Linked DNA regions of Arabidopsis thaliana. The protein of the gene in region 2 interacts with the protein of the main gene of each other region in a pairwise test. Each region holds a gene or a part of one and is shown on either strand. Other genes may lie near its edges.

The links.
Region 1: the proteins of AT5G50840 (region 2) and AT5G22310 interact in a two-hybrid assay, tested with the Arabidopsis thaliana proteins (one large-scale study listed by BioGRID).
Region 3: the proteins of AT5G50840 (region 2) and AT5G61330 interact in a two-hybrid assay, tested with the Arabidopsis thaliana proteins (one large-scale study listed by BioGRID).

The regions. Positions count from the first base shown.
Region 1 is NC_003076.8:7,384,086-7,387,841, reverse strand, and holds the start of AT5G22310 (trichohyalin-like protein), read left to right. Parts: upstream 1-2,008; 5' UTR 2,009-2,496; coding exon 2,497-2,925; intron 2,926-3,008; coding exon 3,009-3,101; intron 3,102-3,176; coding exon 3,177-3,756.
Region 2 is NC_003076.8:20,683,787-20,687,542, forward strand, and holds the start of AT5G50840 (alpha-taxilin-like protein), read left to right. Parts: upstream 1-2,031; 5' UTR 2,032-2,116; coding exon 2,117-2,408; intron 2,409-2,497; coding exon 2,498-2,565; intron 2,566-2,659; coding exon 2,660-2,771; intron 2,772-2,866; coding exon 2,867-2,934; intron 2,935-3,032; coding exon 3,033-3,110; intron 3,111-3,632; coding exon 3,633-3,697; intron 3,698-3,756. Other genes in the region: AT5G50830 (nuclear polyadenylated RNA-binding protein), read left to right, coding at 1-281, 454-521, 599-763.
Region 3 is NC_003076.8:24,659,640-24,663,395, reverse strand, and holds the start of AT5G61330 (rRNA processing protein-like protein), read left to right. Parts: upstream 1-2,154; 5' UTR 2,155-3,060; coding exon 3,061-3,076; intron 3,077-3,164; exon of another isoform or gene 3,165-3,275; coding exon 3,276-3,373; intron 3,374-3,457; coding exon 3,458-3,756. Other genes in the region: AT5G61340 (uncharacterized protein), read left to right, coding at 253-1,332.

The DNA.
Region 1 (3,756 bases), about 13 Mb from region 2:
TAGTGTGTAATAAAAAAGAGAAATAAAATGATACAAGCTAAATGCTAGGAAAAATGTGGAAACACTAGTTTGGACAATGAGAAGTTTGAATTTTGATTTCAGAAAAGAAAACTAAATTAATTTTAGTGCAGACTATTCCGATTAGGTGTAAATGTGGTCTACATTTGTGATATATTATGAAGACGTAGAGAAGAGTTAGAAATTTTTGTCATCTTCTTTTGTTTCCTATGTTTGTTTTGTAATGCTAATGTTAAAACCGATTTGCTAGTTCAAAATGTCCGTATCTACCCGTATTGAATGTATGTAATTACCCATAGTATGTATTGTATATTGTAAACGATATTTTTTTAGTTTAGCTTATTTGACAAAAAAGAACGTCGTTTTTAAAGTAGAGTTTAGATTGCTGCTGCAAGAGTAGTTAGTATATTGAATAAAAGTATAGTGATATGACATTTTTGTCAAATTCTCCATGTGATATGTGAGTAGTAGTCAAAGACTCAAAGGAATAAAAGAGAAACAGACTAGAACTCTTTTTAATCTGAACCGTTCATCTATGTTGTATTTTTCTTCTATCATCGTGGCACTTCTCTAGTCTTCACACATTTTAAAATTCTTTTTTACTCGTATTAATTTATTTTTAAATTAGTAATATGTTAAATTATTTGTAATGGAGTTAAAAGAATCTGGAGGATGGATTTGATTTGACTGGCAGAGAAGGCATCTATCTCTTTGGGATGTTCCATAAGTATTTACTATTATTTGTACTCAGCATGTGCCTGTCTTTCATAATTCATATGCCAATCACAAAACTTGTGTTCAAATTAGTATAGAGACAATCATTGGTTTTGAGTTGTGAATTATGATTGGATAGTAGTAATCGTTAAGGCATCTAGGAAATTTTATGTCTGATTTACATTCAAAAAATCCTATATGTTTTAGAGCAGCAATATTTTTTTTTATGAATCCAAAAATCTAAAACCATGTATTCATTGTGTAACTATGATTGTTTAATGAGAGATTTTTAGCAATGATTGAACATCTACTATATATATTAGTGTCAAAATTGTCAAAGTTTCGATGTGCGACAATTCCAATAACTTATAACAACTGTCTGTAAAATTTTAGTGTATTGATCTTAATACCTACCTCTCTAGACAAAAGCCATAAGTTTATAAACACAATCCTAAAACATAAAATGAAGAACTATTCAATCCTAAACGAAAATGATTTATAATAATTATATTTCTGTTTGTGTTTTTGGATTGTGTATAACAAATATTCGCATTTAAACAAAAATACTATATATTATCTTTCTAAACACTATTCAATCATAATTGAACAATCTGCATGATATAAATCGTCAAAATCAATAAAAACTAATCAATTTTGCATTAAAAATAAAAAAACATCATCTAATTCAATACAATTTTTTTTCCTAAAACATAAGAAAAAAGGAGTATACTTTCTTGGCTCATGTATCTTGCCTTGTCTATGCATATTCATTTATTTCAAAATATGTCACCCATATTCATGTTTGTTGAAAACAATGCTACTTTATAGTAGTACGTAGTACGTTGTCTTTAACTCTTTTGACGTTCATATTATTTCCCAAAAAAAAAATACTAATCAAAAACGAAATGAGTCGGGTCTTAATCCGATCAAACGAGGTTAAATTGTGACCTAAACCCGTGTTCTGTTCGACTTTTGGCAAGTTCTAGAAAACACATGTTAGCTTTTGACGTTAGCATAGAGGTTAATGCTAGTTTTGATAATCTAGTACGTTGTCTTTATTTGATGCTCTTCTTTTTTTCTTCTCCAGAAAAGCCTACAAAAACTTAATAGAATCCTGTCTAATCCGATCAAACCAGGTTAACTTGTGGTCTAAAGATTCTAAACTCTTTAGAAAGCACTAATTTGGAAACATGGATTCCATGATATCTTTTTGCAAGTCATTGTTGCATTAATGAGTTAGCGGCAACAATATTTGTACTCATTGATTATGAAATTATTTTTGTTAAAATTAATGACGAAATTGGACAACATCGGTTCATGAACCCTCCAAAGAAAATTTACATTGCCCAAATAGACAACGCACAAACACAAAAACACCACACTGTCTCCATCTTTCTTTCCTCTTCTTCAACATCTCTCTTCTCCCAAGAAAATAAAACACAATTTCCCAGATTCAAAACTTCTTTTTCACAAATCACAACGTCTTCAAAGGGATCAAGAATCTTATTACTCTTCTCTTCTTTTGCTTTTAAGAAGAAGTAAAAACATCATCTTAACTTTCACTTTTTGTATTATCTTTCTCTTTCACTCACTTTAAAGTCTATTTAGAGATTCAAAAACAAAATCTTCCAGAAACTGCTTCTGATCTTAGAAGATGACTCACTTCTCCTAAAAAGCACCAATTTCAATCCTATTTTTTTCTCTTGTTTTCCGGCAAGATTTGGTAAAATTTTGTGTTCTGATTTGTTGTTTTGAATATCAACTATGGAACAACGGAAGAAAGGTTGTAAGATCAGGAAGAGAGGTGGTTCTTCCTCTTCTTCTTCTTCACTTGCTCGTCGAAACCGCTTCAAACGTGCAATTTTCGCCGGGAAAAGAGCCGCTCAAGACGACGGTGGCTCAGGAACTCCTGTTAAGTCCATCACCGCCGCTAAAACTCCAGTTCTGTTATCGTTTTCGCCGGAAAATCTTCCTATAGATCATCATCAATTGCAGAAAAGCTGCGTGTCGGCGAGAAAGCTAGCTGCGACGCTGTGGGAAATCAACGACGACGCAGACCCTCCGGTAAATTCTGATAAAGATTGCTTGAGAAGCAAGAAACCATCGAGATACAGAGCGAAGAAATCAACAGAGTTCTCTTCCATTGATTTCCCGCCACGATCATCCGATCCGATTTCTCGTCTAAGCTCAGAGGTTAGGGTTTGCTTCAGTTTCAAGTTTCCTCTGTGTTTTTTTTCTTTCTGAAATTCTAAGTCTGAAAAATCAAAATTGCACAGAGAATCGATCTCTGTGACGATATGATTCGTAGAAGATCAACAAATCCTCAGAAATTAAACCCAATTGAATACAAAATCATTGGCGCAAACTCGGTATGATTTGCAATCTTACCCTAAAAACACTTTTCTTGCGGAAGAAGAAAGGTCTGATTCTTAATTATATTACAGGTGAAAACTCGTTTCAAGAATGTCAGTGACGGATTAACAACGTCTAAAGAACTGGTAAAGGTATTAAAAAGGATCGGTGAGCTCGGAGATGATCACAAGACAGCAAGCAATCGTTTGATCTCTGCTTTGTTATGTGAACTAGACAGAGCAAGATCTTCACTAAAGCATCTAATGAGTGAATTAGATGAAGAGGAAGAGGAGAAGCGGAGGTTGATAGAGAGTCTACAAGAAGAGGCGATGGTTGAGAGAAAACTCCGGCGAAGAACAGAGAAGATGAATAGAAGATTAGGGAGAGAGCTCACGGAGGCTAAAGAAACAGAGAGGAAGATGAAGGAGGAGATGAAAAGAGAGAAGAGAGCTAAAGATGTTCTTGAAGAGGTTTGTGATGAGCTAACTAAAGGAATCGGAGATGATAAGAAGGAGATGGAGAAAGAGAGAGAGATGATGCATATAGCTGATGTTTTGAGGGAAGAGAGAGTTCAAATGAAGCTTACGGAGGCGAAGTTTGAGTTCGAAGATAAATACGCCGCCGTGGAGCGGCTGAAGAAGGAGCTCCGGCGGGTTTTGGATGGTGAAGAAG
Region 2 (3,756 bases):
GAAGGAAGAAGTAGTTGTGAACAAACAAGAAGAGGACAATCATCATCAAGATGTTGTGGAGAAACAAGAGGAGGAAAATAAAGAGGTTGTGAAGAAGCAAGAGGAGGAAAATCATGATGATGATGTGGTCGTCATCAATGTTAAGAAGGAAGGAGATGATGGTAAGAATCATGATGTTGATGAAGGGAGTATCAACAACTTTGATGAGAGAATGATTGGTCCTGGATCTCCAAGCTTTAGGGTTTATTGCGTCGATGTTCCTTCTGATGATGATGATGAAGGTAAATCATATGTTCTTATACAAACACACATATATACATGTATAAATCATTTACTATTTGTATTTGTATATGGATGCATGCATTGTTAGAGACATATATATGTTTATATATGAAATGCTTGTTATATTATGTAGTTTCGTTATTGAAACAATTTATCCATTCACTATTGCAGAAAAAGATGTAGAAGACGCGAGAAAGTCGATGGAAACCGAAAGCGTCACGACAGAGATAAAAGAGGTGGTCAATCACATTAATTCACATTATTGATTATTTGATCTATGAGGATCTCTAACAATGATATATTTGTATTTCTATAGGACGGAAGCATTGTCAAAAAGGAGAAAAAAGAAAGAAGAGGAAAGAGGTTCGGAATCGCATTGCCGAGGAAGTATTTAGCAAATGTGACTGCGCCGTGCTATGCAGGTGGAGGATGCATGGGAAACACTCATTCTCGTTTGGTGCAAGAGAAATCGAGCCAGTGATCGATCAAAATATGTTTGCCATCTTTGCATTGACTGATTTGTTGAAGTAAGAATGGTGTGGTGTACGTACGGGATCACGATGAATAATCAAAACCACCTTACGATTTTAGACCTTTGATTTGTTTTAAGAGACGCTTGTTTCAGAATTTGTACAACCTCTTCTTCTTCACCTTTGCTTTCTTTGATCAGGATAATTAAGTTAGTGTTTGACGAATTTACTTTTTTCCACGTGGAAAGATGTAATTAATTGAACTTGTGCAATAAAAAAAGTGTTGTCTAAATGTCAAATTTATTGTTACATTAACCAATGAAAATAAAATTAGAGTAACATATAGGAAACTGCAATTATAGAAGAAAAAACACACTAAAAGGTGTAAGTAATTGAACTTTGTGAATTCCGTTTGTTTTCGGAATGCACAAGTGTTAGTCATAATAGGAAAGATAAAAATCTTAATTACAAATCCTAAAATACAATTTTTAATTTATTTTTTAGAGTTTATATTAATATGTCGTCAAAAACGGTATATTATTCAGAACAAAATTATCGTTGACCATTAGTTAATTAATAACCAAGTTCAAATTTGATAATTTGAAAGTTTATTTAGACAAAATTAATTAGTTGAAAGTTTTATCAATGATGGCCTCTTAAATTTTTAACTTTTTTTTGTTGAGTTTTATAAAAAAGAAAAAATGGTTTTCAAACTAAATTTGTTTATGATCATGTTTATCCGAGTTAAGCCCAATTTGAGATCTTTGTCAGTAATGACTAAGAGTACCTCCCGCATATAGAATTCATGTAGTTTCTAAAACATATATATATTTTTTTAACTTTTAAATATATATATTTTTTTAATTGTATGAGTTTCTACTAAAAAATTACTATTGAAGTTGGTCTAAGTTGCGAGACCAAATTTTTATATGCTTTCGGTTCGAATTGACATTTCTCTGTGTAAACGAAGCATCAATAAGAATTTATCAAACTTGAATGTAACACCATTTCTTTAGTTGATCATTTCCAAACATTTATTAATCAAATAAAATTGAATTTCAAAGTCACGTGATAATGATGATACTCAAATTTAAAAAACCAATAACACTTTATTTCAACATTTCTATGAAGAAATCAATTATTAACACTTAAAGTTATTAATTGAATAACAACGAACAACATTTAATTTAGTCAAAATTAGATTTTTTTTTTCTTTTTTTTGGTTTTATTGTTAAGATTTTATACCAAATAAAATTTTACAAACGAATCTAAAAGAAAGAACAAATTTAAACTTACCTATCAGAATTGTTGTAAGATATTTGGGTTTTCTTCGTATTAGGTTTCATCAGATCCAGACTCAAAAAATGGAGTCACCGCACTCGAATTTGCTCCCTGAAGTCGATTCTTTACCCGATGGATTCGTCGACGGCGCAACAGAGCCGCCTCTCAATTCTCCCAAGACCCAGGAAGAAACAACAAACCATGAAACTGTTGCGATCGAGAAAACAGAGAAGCCAAGAACTTTTCCGGTTCCGTTGTGTGAAACTGATGGTAATGAAGATGACGAAGTAGCTGACCTAATTCAAGAATCAATCAAGCTTGAGTTAGAGTTCGAGCAGAAAGAAAAAGAAGCTTCTCCTCCTATTTCTCAAACATGTGAGTGAAAATGTGAAGCTTAATTTCTTTATAGGAATTTGCTTCTTTTGTAACCTAAAGTTTGTTTCTTTGCTTTTTGTTTGAGTTAGTGTCAGAAGGGTCAACTCAAAATTCAACCTTGTCTAAGGAAATGGATTCACTCAAACCCAAAAAACAAGTCAGTATTTTGATGAGTTCTTCAATCTTGTTGCTTTGAGAAGAATATATGTTGAAGATGATGTATCTGATTTGTGTGCTGATGATATTGAAAGCAGGAGGTGGTTGAGAGCAAGCGTAAGGGTTCAAAGAATATGTTCAAATCAGAGAAAGAGTTTTTGGAATTTATGCTCAAGTATCAGCAAGTCCTTTCTGAAAGAGATTCTGGTAATAGGATATCAATAAAACCAAACTAGTTTTGTGTTACCTTCATCGTTTAATGCTTTATAGTCTGTACTCATCATTATTGTTTTTAACCGTAGCTATTACTGTTCGTGACAAGCTTGAATCACTTTGTAGAGAGTTACAACGTCAGAACAAAATGTTAATGGTTTGTTCTTTCTTTCTTCTTGCTTACTCTACTTGGTGTGTCTTGTTTTGAGGAACTAACCTTTTGGTGTGTAAACTAAATGTTCCTTTGTATAACAGGAAGAATGCAAGAGGGTTTCAACTGAGGGACAGACTTTAAGATCGGATTTATCGACAAAGTTCCAGGATGCTATAATGGTAAGTTGAACACATTTTTCTTTCGATGTGAATTCTTCCCAGGGTTTTGATCTTTGCTGAATATAGAAATTTGAGCCATTTTGCCGTCGGTATTGGCAGTTTTAGAGAGGAACAAGTATTGGATAATAGCTTTGTTTTGTGTTTCTAAGTATGCAAATCTTAAATGCACATCATTTATTGATCCTTGTTATATTTTCTTAGGATATTATCTCCTTTAATCTTCCGTGCTATATGCTTTGGACAGTCATGGCAATATCTTTTTCTTCTTTCTGAAACTCTCTACACTGACATTGGCAAATGTTAGTACCGATCTACACTAAAATTTAGTCCTTGGAAATAATTGGAACTAAACAAAGTAGAAAATTGTCCATATTGGTTTCAAGTTACAGATTGATAGAACTAAGTTTGATGAATTGCTTGCAGGCTTTTGCAACATCAAAAACTTACAAAAACAAAATCAGAATTTATTTGATTGATTTTTTTCTTATGCTCTCTACCTTCCTAATCCTCTTTTGTTTATAGGATGTGAGCATTAAGTTGGACGAGCAAAAGAATGAAAGCCTCACGCAACTCAAAGAAAATGAGATGTAAGCGGAAAGAACTCAATCATAACATGTTCATTTGGAGTAGGAAAATTATAGTATGT
Region 3 (3,756 bases), 4.0 Mb from region 2:
AAACCTAACAAGGAGGTGTTATGTATTATTTTACTCACACGAAAGATTCTATTCCATGCAAAAAACTTTGCTTCACAAAGAAAAAGAAGAGTTTTAATTTGATTAGTTTGTCTAAACAACTCCTCATCTTCAGGCAAAATCGGTTGGCCTATCTCCATTCTCTTCTCTAACACCCAACCCACAATTAAATTTTAGCAAAAAAATATATAAATAATATAAAAATCATTACATATTTTATATACATATATATAGATGACCTGCATTGAGAAAACCCTTTCAAGATTTGGTGGATCATTCAAGAAACACACATATTCAAACTTCTCCAAAGAAAAGAAAATAGCAAAAACTAGAATGAAGAAGACAATGGAGGATCCAAGCAAGATCATGAGAAGGTCAATTCACACTTTCCTCCAAAACTACCACCGTGTCACCACCGCAGCCGCCGTGGCCCTCCCTTTCTCCGCCGGTCTCCTCCTCTCTCAGCCTTTCTTCTCTTCTTCCTCTTCCACCCTTCACATGAGGCTTAACATGCTCTTCCGCGGAGCGGGTTTCTCTTCTTCTCATGACTTCTTCAACATCTTAAGCCTTAAACTCTCACAAACCCTATCTTCCTCTTTATTCACTCTTCCTTTCTCCCTCACATTCCTCCTTTTATCCAAAGCTTACGTCATCAAACTTCTATCAAACAATCACTCTGCAGATTCCTCCTCTGTTTTCTACCTCCGGCTTCTCAAAACTTACGTTTGCAACTTCTTCTTCCTTCTCTCTGCAAACGCCTCTGCTTTTGCTCTGTTTTTCTTAGCATACAATACCCTTGAAGCCTTTGGATTCTCTTCAAGAAACTTCTACACTTTCCTCTCCCTATCCTCAGCAATCATCTACTCAATTATCATCGCAAACGCCTTTGTCATCTCTAATCTAGCCTTGGTTTCATCACCTTCTTCTTCCTCGGGAGGATACACAAACATCCTCAAGGCGTGTCTTCTGATTCGCGGAAGAAATTCAACAGCAATGGCTCTTGCTCTGCCTACCAATCTCGGCTTAGCAGGAGTCGAAGCCTTGTTTCAGTACCGAGTCATGAGATCTTATTACAATGGAGACAGAGATATCATATCCATAGCTCTTGAAGGAACCTTCATAGCTTACTTATACGCTCTCTTCTTGGTTCTTGACACCATAGTCAACTTCCTCTTTTACCAGAGCTGCATCAAAAACGAGGAAGATCAAAATATCGGTAGAGAAGACGAGTATTCAATCAAGATCCAAATCAGCGAAACAGAGAACACAAAGATACACATCAAAGGATCAAAGAACTTGCAAGAAATCTTGTGACTCTCTTGTGTTGGTTGATGTAATTATTACTTATACAAAAAAAGTGAAAAACTTTATGAGATTATTGATTCTTTAAGGATAATCTCAAGTAGCTTTCACTTCAAAGAAGAGCAAAGGTACACACACAGTAAAGAACAATCACAGGATCTGCAAAACTTTTTCTTCTTCCTCTGTTTCTGCTTTTCTTTATTTTAGTCTCTTTTTTTTCCACATTGTAAAGTCAAATATACCAGAAATTTTAATTAATGCAAATCTTGGAATTCACATTTGGTTAATCCTACAGTATAATTTCATTGCCGACAAAATATATTAATTAGCAATGATTTTGATTACTTCCTTAAGTTATGAAGATGTTGACTAGATTCACACTTTAACAAGAGTGAAGAGTCTTTTGTTTTTGAGCAAGGATAAGTTCAAGCAAAATCTTTCATTACAAAGAGAGAAGAAGAAATGTCACAATTATCTTTAAATAGACGGTAGAGGCGAAAGCAATTGAACTTTTTGTATTTTTCGTTGAATGAAAATCCTAATAATACATTGAAATTGTGTTAATGATAAAAGCTCAACTTAAAAAGACAAAAAATGGCTAGTGGGTGGTCTACATCACTAATCTCTCTACTTGAACCTCTTTAACAAAAAGCCCTTTAATACAATAGTTCAGTACTACCTAAAATTTCTTCTAATGGAGAAATTATGAATGAATCTAATTTACTTTTATAGGTTAAAAAGAGTGGAATCCGGAAATGTTGCATCTAAAGAGATCAAGAAACAATTAAGCACAAAAAGATGAATTTTATAACAAGCAAAATTTTGTAGCTTTCCAAACATACAAAACAATGTAATCATTCATGGTCCATATTTAGGAATTAGGATCAAGGGTTTATAATCCCAGGTCCGACCGACCGAATCGTATAATCTGGTCCTATCAAACCAAAATTAAAACATTTAAACCGGATTTTTGGTTGAACCGGCCGGTTCATGGGTTAAGCGAAACCTCTAGGGTTTTAATATTTCCAGAGTTGGTTGAGAGCTTCTTCTTACTTTTACTTTTCCTCTGCTCGTAGACAGCTTTGTGCTTGAGACGATTCCCAGTTTCTGCGATTCCAAGTCGAAGATATAACCTCTCCTATTTGCGTCTCAGCTTCTACAGAGCTTTTAGGTAAGCTCCTCTGCTTGTATGATTCCTTTTAATTTTCAAAATTCACTGCTTTCTCTTGCGTATCTGCTCAAAGTCTCTCCCTTTTTCATTTAATCGTTTCTCTTCCTGAAACATTCGAACTCATAAACTAGTTTGATTCAAAAGTTTTCTTGCTTTAAACTTGTGTTAGCTCTAGAATGTTGTTCTTTGTAATCTGTTTGTGACATTGTGGTGGAGATGATGAATGTTAAAGTAAAAGGTCTGAGCAGGTTATGAGTAAAGTGTGTGGCTTTTGATGTTTAATTTAGTTACGAGGAGTCAATCTTTGAACTTTATAGGAGAGGGCCCTTGTCCATGTCTTGAGCCATGGCATCTGTGGCTCCGCAACCTCTCCAACAATGAACCTGATTTGTGTGTGCAATCTGATGGGTCGATTTTTAAAGGCTTGGGGTTGCTTTCTATCATTGATTGTCAATCTAGAATTCTCCCTATATACATTTGTCTCCTTGTGCTTCCTTATCACCAATTAGCTACCCTCGTGATTCTGCACTGATCAAAGACCCTTTGACTGATCCACGTGAGCTGTTTTTATGAGATTATCTATAGGTCTCTGTTTTTTTTTTTTTTTTTTTTTTTTTTTTTTTTTTTTATGTTTGAAGCTTTTGACAAAGCTTGTTTGATGGTATGGTTACCTCATTGTTGCTCTATATTTGGTCCTTCTTTATTTGTTTCAATATTTTTATTGCTTAATCCACTGTATAATAGTTTCTCCTTCCTCAATTGAGTTAGTTTTTCGTGATTGCAGCATTAAAAGTTGTTAAAATGGCTGGGGGGTCAAAGAGGTCTAAAAGAGCAAGACTTGACAGTGAATCGGAAGACATAAGCGACCAAGAAAACCTTAAGGTATGTTTATGTTGCTTTTGTCTCGTTTAAGTTATTTAGATGGTATAGGTGAATTTATTTGGTTGAGGGTTCTCTATATTATAGGCCGAAAGCGACAATGAAGATGATCAATTACCTGATGGGATAGAGGATGATGAAGTAGATAGCATGGAAGATGATGAGGGAGAGAGTGAGGAAGACGATGAAGGAGATACCGAGGAAGATGATGAAGGAGATAGCGAGGAAGATGATGAAGGAGAGAACAAGGAAGACGAGGATGGAGAAAGCGAGGACTTTGAAGATGGAAATGATAAAGAGAGTGAGAGTGGCGATGAAGGTAATGATGACAATAAAGATGCTCAGATGGAAGAGCTTGAGAAAGAGGTCAAGGAGCTTCGTTCACA